Linked DNA regions of Oryzias latipes. The protein of the gene in region 1 purifies or fractionates together with the protein of each later gene. This does not show direct contact. Links are inferred from orthologs where the notes say so. Each region holds a gene or a part of one and is shown in the gene's direction. Other genes may lie near its edges.

Region 1 (2,937 bases):
TTTTCATATGAATTTTCTGGATTTGAAGGTTCGTCTTTTTGAGGTGCCTAAATTCACCAGTTTACAAAGTAATTCACTACTCTTTACTTTTTCTACCCGCATACAAACGGCACCACCTCATTCATTTCAGCACATGAACACATCTAGCATCGTCTGATTCAGTGGCCTACATACTGTAGAGACAGGTTGCTCATTGGCACTACGACAGTGGAAAGCAGTTCATCTCCAGGAAAAAACTGAATTTCTTTTTTTGTGATTTGGTTACCGACTGCCCCACAATGTGAGGAAAAAGTCACGAGGGTTTCTGTAGTCTAGGAACTGTAATCTATTACGTTACTCTGTTACTGACAAGAACTTGTTCTGAAGTTCAAGGGTTTAGTTTTTCCCTCCAGAGGGCTGCGGTCAGGCAGACAGTTGGCGTCATTTGTCATACGTGACGTCTTAAAGTCTGAGATGTAACTCGAAGAAACTCCGCTTCAGTGTCTGAGTTTTCACTGCAGAGGTCAGGACTACTTCCTGGTTCATGAGCGGCGCTTTCCTTTGAGCAGGATGTGAAGAACAGCCGCTCCACAGACTCCATTCGTCTGCTGGCTCTGCTCTCATTGGGCGAGGTGGGACACCATGTGGACCTCAGCGGCCAACCCGAGCTGAAGACGGTCATCCTGGACGCCTTTTCATCCTCCAGCGAAGAGGTAATCCTCGCGTCCGCGCGCCGCTTTGGCTCTGCGGCCGTGGAAGCGCTGAGTTCCCGTTTGTGGTTCAGGTGAAGTCGGCGGCGTCCTACGCTCTGGGCAGCATCGCCGTGGGGAATCTTCCGGAGTATCTGCCCTTCGTCCTGCAGGAGATCTCCTCCTCCAAGAGGCAGTACCTGCTGCTGCACTCGCTCAAAGAGATCATCAGTGAGTACCGCCGTGAGTGAACCCGTCCGCGGGTCCGTGTGTGGTTCTGACCCGCCGCTGTCTTCAGGCTCGGCGTCCGTGTCCGGCCTGAAGCCGTACGTGGAGTCCGTCTGGTCGCTGCTGCTCAAGCACTGCGAGTGTCAGGAGGAGGGAACCAGGAACGTGGTGGCCGAGTGTTTGGGGAAACTGACACTGATCGACCCAGAAACGCTGCTGCCCCGCCTCAAAGGGTACCTGCTGTCAGGTGACTGCTGCATCCCAGGCCGACGCCCCTTTGGCCAACCGTGTCCGAAAAGAACCCAACCTGACGTCTGATGTTTGCAGGTTCCTCGTACGCCAGGAGCTCCGTGGTCACAGCGGTTAAGTTCACCATCTCCGACCAGCCGCAGCCCATCGACCCTCTGCTCAAGAACTGCATCGGTAAACCAGAACCGCCTCAACCGTCAGAACTTCAGGGTTCCGGGCTCTGCCGGCATGTTCAGAACACCCGTGCGCTTCATTTGGCGTTGGCACACAGCCTTGCGTTATGGCCAACTTTCTAAATGACTCCTGTCTGATTGTTTTTCCACTTTGATGCATTTTCAACCATCTTTAGCTTCTTTATGTAAAAATCTTCCTTCCTGCTTGAAGTTACAACAAATCCAAACAATCTTCTTTGTTTTCAGAAACACGTTCAGCAGCAGCTAGCAATGCCACTGAAAGCTTTATCGTGAGGTTTTGGAGAGTTGAGGCAGGTTTTGTTTTTGCTCGTTTTAATGATTAGCTGATGCTGCAGCCTGTAACTCAGCCCCTCCCACAGTCAGCTGAATTAGGTTTTAGTCGTAGCTAGATGGAGGTTTGTTTCTGGTTTTCTTGTCCCAATAATCAAACCATCATGAGGCTCAGCCCTAAAATTCGGCCTCCGCTGGGTCTGCAGTTAAATGACGAGCGTGAAATGAAGCCACGCCCACTCTGTGCAGGCCGCCGTTTCAGACCAGAGGTCCAGGATTTCTGGAGCAGATCATCCAAATGATCAGAATGTAGATCTTCAGTGATCTCCATTTTTGTAGTTTTAAATAACTTCTTTAAAAAATATCCAGGTTAGATATTAGAAGTGATGAAAAATGTCTGAAAATTATCTTTTAGTTTTTAATAAATTAGACTTTATTCTGAAAGGTTTCTTACCTGTTATTTAACGACTCATTTGTCACAAATGTAATTAATGTTTTTAAATGTTGAAAGTGCTTTTTTTTCTATAAATCCTGTTTATTAAGATAAATGGTTCATCGAGGGATGCTCTGCCCTCTGATTGGCTGTTTGCTCCCAGGTGACTTCCTGAAGACCCTGGAGGACCCGGACCTGAACGTGCGGCGCGTTGCCTTGGTAACCTTTAACTCTGCCGCCCACAACAAACCCAGTCTGATCCGAGAGCTGCTGGACTCGACTCTGACCCACCTTTACAACGAGACCAAAGTGAGGAAGGAGCTGATCCGAGAGGTGGGTCAGAACTACAGCTGTGACGGTGTGGGGGGGTTTTGATCACCGCGGTGATGAACCAGCCGGGGGCGCGGTGTCACGGTCAACTGCACCCCCCACCCCACACACACACACACAAAATCCCCCAGCGGCCGCGTCGCAAATGAATACAATTACAACGCAGTTTTTTTTATTAACAAATAACAGTAACAACTAACTACTACCTGTCTAACTAATGAACTAACTCTAAAGATGTACATACTGTGTGTGTGTGTGTGTCAGCGCGCTGTGTGTGTGTGAGGAAGGAGCACACACACGTGTGTTGGGGGTGCGTGTTGATTCTTCTGCTCTCTAGCTGCATCTAGCTGCGGGGCAGGACGCTCCACCTTTGTTCATACAGACACGTAACGTTACGCTGCACAAAATAGTTCCCAAACAAAACATGTAGTGATATCCATGATATCTAACAGTGAGCGTTCATGTTTGGTGTTACAGAGTGAAGGAGAACCGTAATAAACCCCCCCCCCCAACACAAAATCCTCCGGCGGGCGGCCGTGTCGCTCACTTAAGAATGGACGCAGGT
Region 2 (4,316 bases), on another chromosome or scaffold:
CGGAGGCTAAATTTCAATACGGAGAGAGTTAAACCCTAAAATACAAGAAACAACACATAAAAATTGTCACTCTAAATAGTCAATATAACTGCAAATAAATCACAAAAATTTATCAAAAGCTAGGTAGAAATTTAACCTACCTGTTTAATAAGCCTGCTAGGACAACAGAGGAGAAAAAAACTCTGTCGCTCAATGATGACGTCTTCAAATAAAACTTTATTAATAACTACAAATAACAAATTCGCATGTGAGGATTGTCCGTTCAATTAAGGAGTGATTGTCTTGTGAAACATCTTAATATACTTTAAAACAAATACACATAAAGAACATCTTCAGGGTAAAAGGACTAACCAAGGAAATATATTTCAAACGAAAGTATAATAATTAAAGGAGCATTTGTGAAACAACCAATAACTTAAAGAGAGACCCAACAAGACTATCCTTCTCCACAAAAACTTATTGTAATTTTTTTGTCAATAATTCTAAATAATTTCGATTGTATATGAAAAATTATAGTTAAACCCATCTTCTGAATAAGCGACCAACAATATGAGTGCACTATTATTGATAATTGACCATTGCCAGTACTGCTCCAATGTATTACTAAAAGCATATCTTATATTTGAATAAATATATTTAAGCATTATTAGTACATAAATATGAGTTTCAATTTGTAGTATGCCTAAATTCAATTATACCTGCAGGTGGTATTTGGATATTTTACATTTACAAACATTAGGTTTGTTGTAAAGAAATCATTTCGTTTGGTGCTATGTTTTAATAACCTAAATAAATAAATGAAGGTCCAACCTTTGATTTGGTTGATTTCTTTTTTAAGTCACAGAAATTCATACTAAAATTAAACATTGTTATCTTGAGATATGTGTCTAAACAGTTTAGGTTTTCTATTCAATCATACATCCATATCATTTAAATTTGAAATGAATAAACATTTTGATGGGTTCCAAAAAAGTACTAGCTTAATTGTATATGACTGCATTAATACTGTTGGTACACAACACACACACACACACACACACACACACACACACCCCACACACACACACGCACACACACACACACACACATACACACACGAAAAACGTTGTTGTTGTTGTTTTTTTAACCATTAACCAAAGATTCATTTCATTTCTTTGTTATAAATATTTACAAAAAATTGAAATTCAATTTAATTGTCACTTATATGTAAGGTTAATACCTGTAACCCAAATGTATACCAGAAAGAATACAAATTTCTAGGACATTTTGGTGACCCTAGTTAGGTCACAAAGTTTGATGGGTCACACGACACACACATTGAAATCTTTAAGGTTTTTGGTCACAAACTTTGGCGTTACACCCCCGTTCAGACGAAGATCAGCTGTTGGCTGCTTGCAGGGAGGGAGGAAGTGATGCAGTAAATGCCCATAACGTTGCTACACTCAATGACTTAAAGGGGGAGAGCACAAAGAAGCAGAGTGCTTTAGTCCAAGATTATCTTTTCACTTTTTTCAGTCAACAAACAGAGCTAAAAACAGTTTAAAAAAAAATATTTATTTTTTTTTCATTATTTTTGCCTTTCCTTCCCTCTGCGTGTCGTCTAGAATCAGACATTAATGTAGAAGTTTTTTTTTTTTCCTTTTTTTTGTCAGCTCACCGCTAAAGCTAGCAATCTGAGTTAACGCGACGAGTTTCTCAGTTCGCTTGTAGTCGCTTTCGGCTAACTTACTTTGTTACCTAATTTAACTGGCACTCTTTGTAGCGATGTCAATCCATCCACCACACGAGAAACTGTCTTTTCAATTAGGTAAGTTTGTTTTCACTTATATTTAGGGTACTTATCAGTCGGAAAGGAGCTAGCATAGCAGATAGCTAACTTTTAGTGATCCAAGCTGATGCTAGCTAGCTATGGCGACGTAGCCAGGGCCAGTCAGTTTTAAATGTAAGAGTGAAAATGACCCATTGATGGGAAAGTATTGTCGTTCAGTGCTTGTGTTTTTAAATGTAGCACAGTGTGTCACTGTAGGGTGTTACTGTATTGGTCGTTATGACTGCTTAAACATTGTTTACCTTTCATTTGGGATGTACTACATGTCATGTGATGTTGAGCTCTTAATTTTCTCAAAGTGTTTGGATCTTCATAACAAATTAACTCGACCTTTTAATGTTAGACATACTCGAATAACTCATTAGTTAATGTGTTGCAATAACAGCGGTGCAGATGTTGCACAGGCGTGTTCTAAATCTACTTTGTCTACTAGGACTCTTTTAAGACTAGCTAATCTGGTTAAACTAATGTCTGATTAGTTTACTTGGTGCTTACTAATTAAGTGTCCTGCTAGTTTATGGTGAATATGTTGGCCTTCATCTTGGGGGAGCTTGATGACCTGAAAGACTTGCCCGAACATGCCTAGAGCATTGATCAGAGCAGGATTTGCTCTGCTCTAGAATATCCTACTCATCATGTTGTGACTTAAGTCCTGACTCAGCGATCATGCCTCTTAAGTTTTTTTTCCCCCTTTTAGTTTTAAACTCCCCACCTTAACGTTCGAGCAAAGCTATGATTTTGCGTGTGTTTTGACTTTTGTCTTTACAAAACAGAAAACCTTAGAACAATAGAGGCCCTTAACTGATTACAGTAGGTCAGCTCTGTGTGCCCCCCACCAGTATGCAATTGCATCATTGTGCAATAAGGTATAACAGTTTAGCTGTGCTCAAACTGCATAGACCCAAACCATAATAACAATAATCCCTGGAAGTGTGGCAACGGTGAGTCATCACTTTGTGGTCTTGATGACAAGATAATGTGTCTTTTCAGCTTTGCAGTGATGTCAAGGTCACAATGATGGCGCAGAACTGAAAGATAATGCCATCACGATGAGTATCTGTAAGTAACATCCTCATTAGCTACTCACATTAGTTCTCATTTAATTCATTTGTTTTGTGCTAACTTTACTTAGAATAAAGATAATGCTGAGCTCCTGAGTCACATGTACTGTTTCCACATCGTTGGTACTCACATTTGTCATGAGAATGTGCTATGGAAGATTTGAATACAGTTCCCTTTTATCCACTACTCCTATAAATGAACTTATAAGACTGATTAACCATATTATGAAATGTTCAGGCATTAAAATTCATCATCAGACTTCTTGGCCAGGTCTCTGCAGGCCAGACAAACAGGTTAAACGCATAAAAGAAAACTCAACTAATCACAGCAGTTGAGGGATTCAACAAAATCTCAGTGTGACACAGGAAACAGGATCAAATGCAAACATTGGATATTTACATTCACATAGTCTCAGAGCAATTCTCTGCTTTACTTTCTCCAGTTTGTTGATCCACCCTTCGCTGTTCATCAGTCAGGTTACAATGTCACACGATTAGTGTTTTGATTAATTCATGACGTGGACTTTTCTTTGAATTCTGTAATTTTCTGAAGAAATGTTTGCAGTTCCTCATAAAAATCTGGTTGTAAGAAACTCTAATATGTGAAAGCCTTACTTCATGAACAAGTGCTTCCCTTTTGAAAACTAAAATGTTGAAACTCCATTTCAGGTTGAGACATTCTCTTCCCTCTTATTGTTTTAAAAAAAAATTTAGGACAGAAAGATGGTAAAGAGGCTTTCAAAGACTTGAAGCCACAACTTTACTTTATCTAAAGAGCCCTGACAAAGACATAATACACTTAATGAAGTTTTATATTTGTTAAACACAAAATTATGCTCAACAAATTAAAGGAAAAAAAGTACAGTCAATCAGATGGACTGACCTATTCAAAACTACTATTTCTTTTAAACCTAAATTTAAGCATACATTTTTTTGAAATTGAAATAATATTGGCTTGTATTTTTGAAGTGCTTAATTTTCTTGTAGTGGAATTTTTTTTACAACTATTTTAGTGCTACCAATTCATAATTATTGGGGGCAACCAAAAAAAAAAATTTTTTTTGTGATATGTTGTTTTATTTTTTATCTATCAGTGTTTTATCAGAAATATATGTTGCGCTTTTATTTTATGTACTGTAATAACTTTTTTTTTTTTTTTTTTAGAGAGAGAGAGTTTAACTTCTCCAATTAAAGTTTTGGTTTATGACAGATCTAGCACAGGTAGCTTCACTTTTTCTTTCTTTGATATTCTTGTTTAATGCTTCACTCTGTCAGTGATGAGTGTTCTCCATTTCAGGCCTGAGGGTATGTTGAGACGTCTCGCCTGGCCAGATCAGAGGCGTTTAGGTGGTTCGGACGGGGACTGAATGTGAGGAGGAAGGGAGAGGGACCAGTGAGAGAGACATGGGCCAGTGCGTCACCAAGTG
Region 3 (3,654 bases), on another chromosome or scaffold:
GTGTTTCCTTTCTACGTCGCAGTTCATCTTTTGCGGTTTCGCTCACTCGTTAGAGAGATCATGCTCTTCTGTGTCCTGATTGGTTGGATATCTTGTCAATCAATCTCCTCCATGCCGTGTCTCCTTTACAGAAACACGGAGCTTTTCAGATCTACAGAAATCTTTGATCTTTGTTTTCATTCTAAGATCCTGGACTTAATTACTATAAAGGTTTGAACTTTGAGAATTTAAACAAGAGAAAAAAGTGGGAAAATGTTCATGTCTGTCTGAGAAAGAGGGCAGTGAGGAGTTTTACCGCCAATAAACTTCTGTAATCCTACTCCGGAGATTTCCTCGTTCACGGTTATTTTTAGAACGTAACTCCTGAAATAAACAAGGAAACACTGTGCTGGTGAAAAGGTCACGCAGATACATGTCCAGCTGCAGCAGAAGACCTAAGAATTTGACTTTTTTCATCATCACTGGATGAGAAACACGCGTGCAGCTTACCTACCTTGTAGAACTGTATTTCAAAGAAAGGACTTTATGTTTACCAGTTTGAAGGAGAAACAAATGTTAAGTTAAATGCCATGTGGTCGAGAAGGGTAGGTACACTACCTTCATGCTGGGGCACCTAAGATAAAAAGTTAGGTACAACCAGTGCAAAAATTCTAGACCCTAGAGTCTAGAGCCCCGCCCTCAGAAGTTCATACAGCAGACATTCGCAATGGAAACCAGCCAACATTAGAATGAACTAGACTGGGTGATTGTGGATACGATTGATGCGATGGCTGGTCGCTGTGAAGTATAAACCGGCGTGAGGGACAAACAAAATTTATTTATGTTTTTTTTTACGTTTTATGTTTTTGGATTTTGTCTTTTTTTTACCACATTTTGCCACATTTTAACCCAGGCATCTAGTCATACATGCTATAAAAGAAAATGAATGTGGTCTGCCCTAAACGTTTCCCTGCTTACATCTATCAAGCCCGTCCAATGTCACGCCCCCAAGAGCCATGTACCCCACCGTGATTGGTCGGCTCGTCAGCTCTGCACACAACACTGTAAAAGTGCCGTTCATGCAAAACTCGTACTGACGTTAAACTTTCATATTAAGTTGGGGGCTGCAAATATCACCTGTGGGGTTTGAAAAATCCTGCAGGCCGCCAGTTTGAGACCCCCTGCTTTACTTTTTACTCTTTAACCCCTAAATAACAGGCTCTTTGAACTACCGTAACTCTTTGATGTTATGCACAACAAATGTGATTCCAACAGATTAGGACACAGAAATGCAACATTTTATGTAATGCAACGACGTAAAGCTGCACTTCTTTGCAACAGAATCAGGTGATTTACATCTACTTTATTACTGTAAAGTGTTGCAAATCAGCGCAAAGCCTCTTTTTTCAGCCTCAGAATCCATTGAAATTGCGTTGATTGCGTGAACGGGTGAAGAGTTTTGCATCGTTCACACTGAGCACGACTCGCACGCTTTTCTTTTGACGCTGGTTTCTGAGACAAGCTCTTAAACAAAGATCCTGATTGGTTGATGCAACTTGTCTTTGTCTTCAAAGTTCAAATAATTGAACTCCTGACATGCTGTGACGCCCAAAACACGGGGCTGTCCGGCTGCTGCAATTAGGACCTCTGATTGCATCTGTGCATCGACTTGACCTTGAAACTGGACGCCGCTGACACATAAATTGGCGTGAATATAGCGTTACGCTTGTCCAAAGAGTGTCAGCACTAAATCTTTGGTGTCAAAAGGTTAAGCTGCTGTCTTCAGATATTGAAATGTTTCGGCCCTGGGTGGGATGGCCATTAAACCCTTAATGTGTCGTTTAACTATATAGACTATTTCTCTGTTTTCTGCAGTTTTATGCCAGAATGTTAGCAAAGAGGTTAATACACGGCTTATCGTTGTCGATGGATTCAGAAGAAGCCATGATCAACAAACTAAAGGTAAATTCTGAGCGGTCGGATCCTTGTTTGCCAGTTTTTGTGTGCTTGTTCCTCACTTTCCTAATGCCCCTTCTGGCTTCGCAGCAAGCCTGTGGCTATGAGTTCACCAGCAAACTCCACAGAATGTACACAGACATGAGCGTCAGCGCCGACCTCAACAACAAATTCAACAATTTCATCAAGACTCAGGAGACGGTGGTGGACCTGGGAATCAGCTTCCAGATCTACGTTTTACAAGTACGTGGGGGCAAAGTCGGGGTTTTTTTTTTGCATACACACATAGCAGTTTGTTGACATTTTTTCGGTCTCGTTTCAGGCTGGAGCTTGGCCCCTCACACACGTCCCCTCCTCGACATTCGCCATCCCCCAGGAGCTAGAAAAGAGTGTGCAGATGGTGAGCTGCGCTACTGAGCTGTAGACCGAAAGGAGCGATGACAAGAGCACGCTTTTGACTCCACCCCTCTTTTTTTCTAGTTTGAGTTGTTCTATAATCAGCACTTCAGTGGGCGGAAGTTGACTTGGCTGCACTACCTCTGTACAGGTACCAAACAGTTGGACTTTAATGTGTTTACCGCTGAGAAAACCAAACCTGGGCCAGTTTCAGCTGCAAATTTTCTCCAACAGGCGAAGTGAAGATGAACTACCTGTCCAAGCCCTATGTTGCCATGGTAACCACCTATCAGATGGCTGTGCTGCTGGCCTTTAACAACAGCCAGACGGTGACCTACAAGGAGCTACAAGACGGCACCCAGATGAATGAGAAGGAGCTCCAGAAGACCGTCAAGTCCCTCCTGGATGTCAAAATGCTAAACCACGATTCAGAAAAGGTTTTTGATTTCCCTTTTGCTCGACCGTTTCTAGGTGACAACTTTGCTTCAACCTGTGAAATGTTCATTCGAATGCGTCACCCCTTCTGTCTCCACAGGAGGACATTGAAACGGAGTCTACGTTTTCGTTAAATATGAGTTTCACCAGTAAAAGAACAAAGTTTAAGATCACCACATCCATGCAGAAAGACACACCGCAGGTCAGAGAATCGCTCTCTCTACCTTCCAGCTTTTCTCTGCACGGTTAGCGTGTAGTAAAACAGCCAGATTACGGATGCCGCCGGCGCTTTGTGTCCCTGTGACTTTTCAGGAGATGGAGCAGACGAGGAGTGCCGTAGATGAAGACCGTAAAATGTATTTACAAGCTGCTATAGTGAGGATCATGAAAGCTCGCAAGGTCCTCCGGCACAACGCCCTCATCCAGGAGGTGAGTGGAGATCGCCGTCATTCCAAACGCCACCTGCAACATGGAAAACTGCAGGAACAAGTTGATCCTTTGACGTAATAACTACTTGGTTTTAAATTATACATTAAAACATTAAGAATTCAGTTTAAAAATAGAGTTTACGTTATTTCTAAATATCCTTTATTTTTATCCCCCAAATGTTTCCTGCACATCCCGTCCATTTATGTCACTGAATTTGTTTGTTACAGTATTTCCCATGAGTATTTCTCTTTAATGAACTTGTTTGTTTTTATTCGTTTTTTACGGTGGCCGACAGGCCTCACACTACGTACATAGAAACAACACAACAGCATTACCCGCAACGCAACGGCATAACCGCAGCACAACGGAAATGAGGACTTTTTGTTTCCTACTGGCGGAAAAAGAACAATTCAGTTTTAAACTATTCGGCGCTCCTGAGAGCTACGTGACATTTGGACA

Evidence for each region.
Region 2: the proteins of cand1 (region 1) and dcun1d3 purify together in Homo sapiens (affinity purification with western blotting; 3 studies listed by BioGRID, with this or other methods). This does not show direct contact. The link is inferred for Oryzias latipes from reciprocal best matches to the Homo sapiens genes CAND1 and DCUN1D3.
Region 3: the proteins of cand1 (region 1) and cul2 purify together in Homo sapiens (affinity purification with western blotting; 7 studies listed by BioGRID and IntAct, with this or other methods). This does not show direct contact. The link is inferred for Oryzias latipes from reciprocal best matches to the Homo sapiens genes CAND1 and CUL2.

The regions. Positions count from the first base shown.
Region 1 is NC_019881.2:23,312,241-23,315,177, forward strand, and holds part of cand1 (cullin-associated NEDD8-dissociated protein 1), read left to right. Parts: intron 1-548; coding exon 549-692; intron 693-763; coding exon 764-899; intron 900-966; coding exon 967-1,143; intron 1,144-1,223; coding exon 1,224-1,319; intron 1,320-2,205; coding exon 2,206-2,375; intron 2,376-2,937. UniProt on the Homo sapiens protein: Key assembly factor of SCF (SKP1-CUL1-F-box protein) E3 ubiquitin ligase complexes that promotes the exchange of the substrate-recognition F-box subunit in SCF complexes, thereby playing a key role in the cellular repertoire of SCF complexes.
Region 2 is NC_019877.2:9,531,409-9,535,724, reverse strand, and holds the start of dcun1d3 (DCN1-like protein 3), read left to right. Parts: upstream 1-1,427; 5' UTR 1,428-1,807; intron 1,808-2,818; 5' UTR 2,819-2,887; intron 2,888-4,055; exon of another isoform or gene 4,056-4,110; intron 4,111-4,186; 5' UTR 4,187-4,293; coding exon 4,294-4,316. UniProt on the Homo sapiens protein: Contributes to the neddylation of all cullins by transferring NEDD8 from N-terminally acetylated NEDD8-conjugating E2s enzyme to different cullin C-terminal domain-RBX complexes and may play a role in the cell cycle progression by regulating the SCF ubiquitin E3 ligase complex, after UV damage.
Region 3 is NC_019878.2:9,081,598-9,085,251, reverse strand, and holds part of cul2 (cullin-2), read left to right. Parts: intron 1-1,854; coding exon 1,855-1,941; intron 1,942-2,025; coding exon 2,026-2,178; intron 2,179-2,257; coding exon 2,258-2,335; intron 2,336-2,415; coding exon 2,416-2,482; intron 2,483-2,565; coding exon 2,566-2,768; intron 2,769-2,866; coding exon 2,867-2,968; intron 2,969-3,078; coding exon 3,079-3,195; intron 3,196-3,654.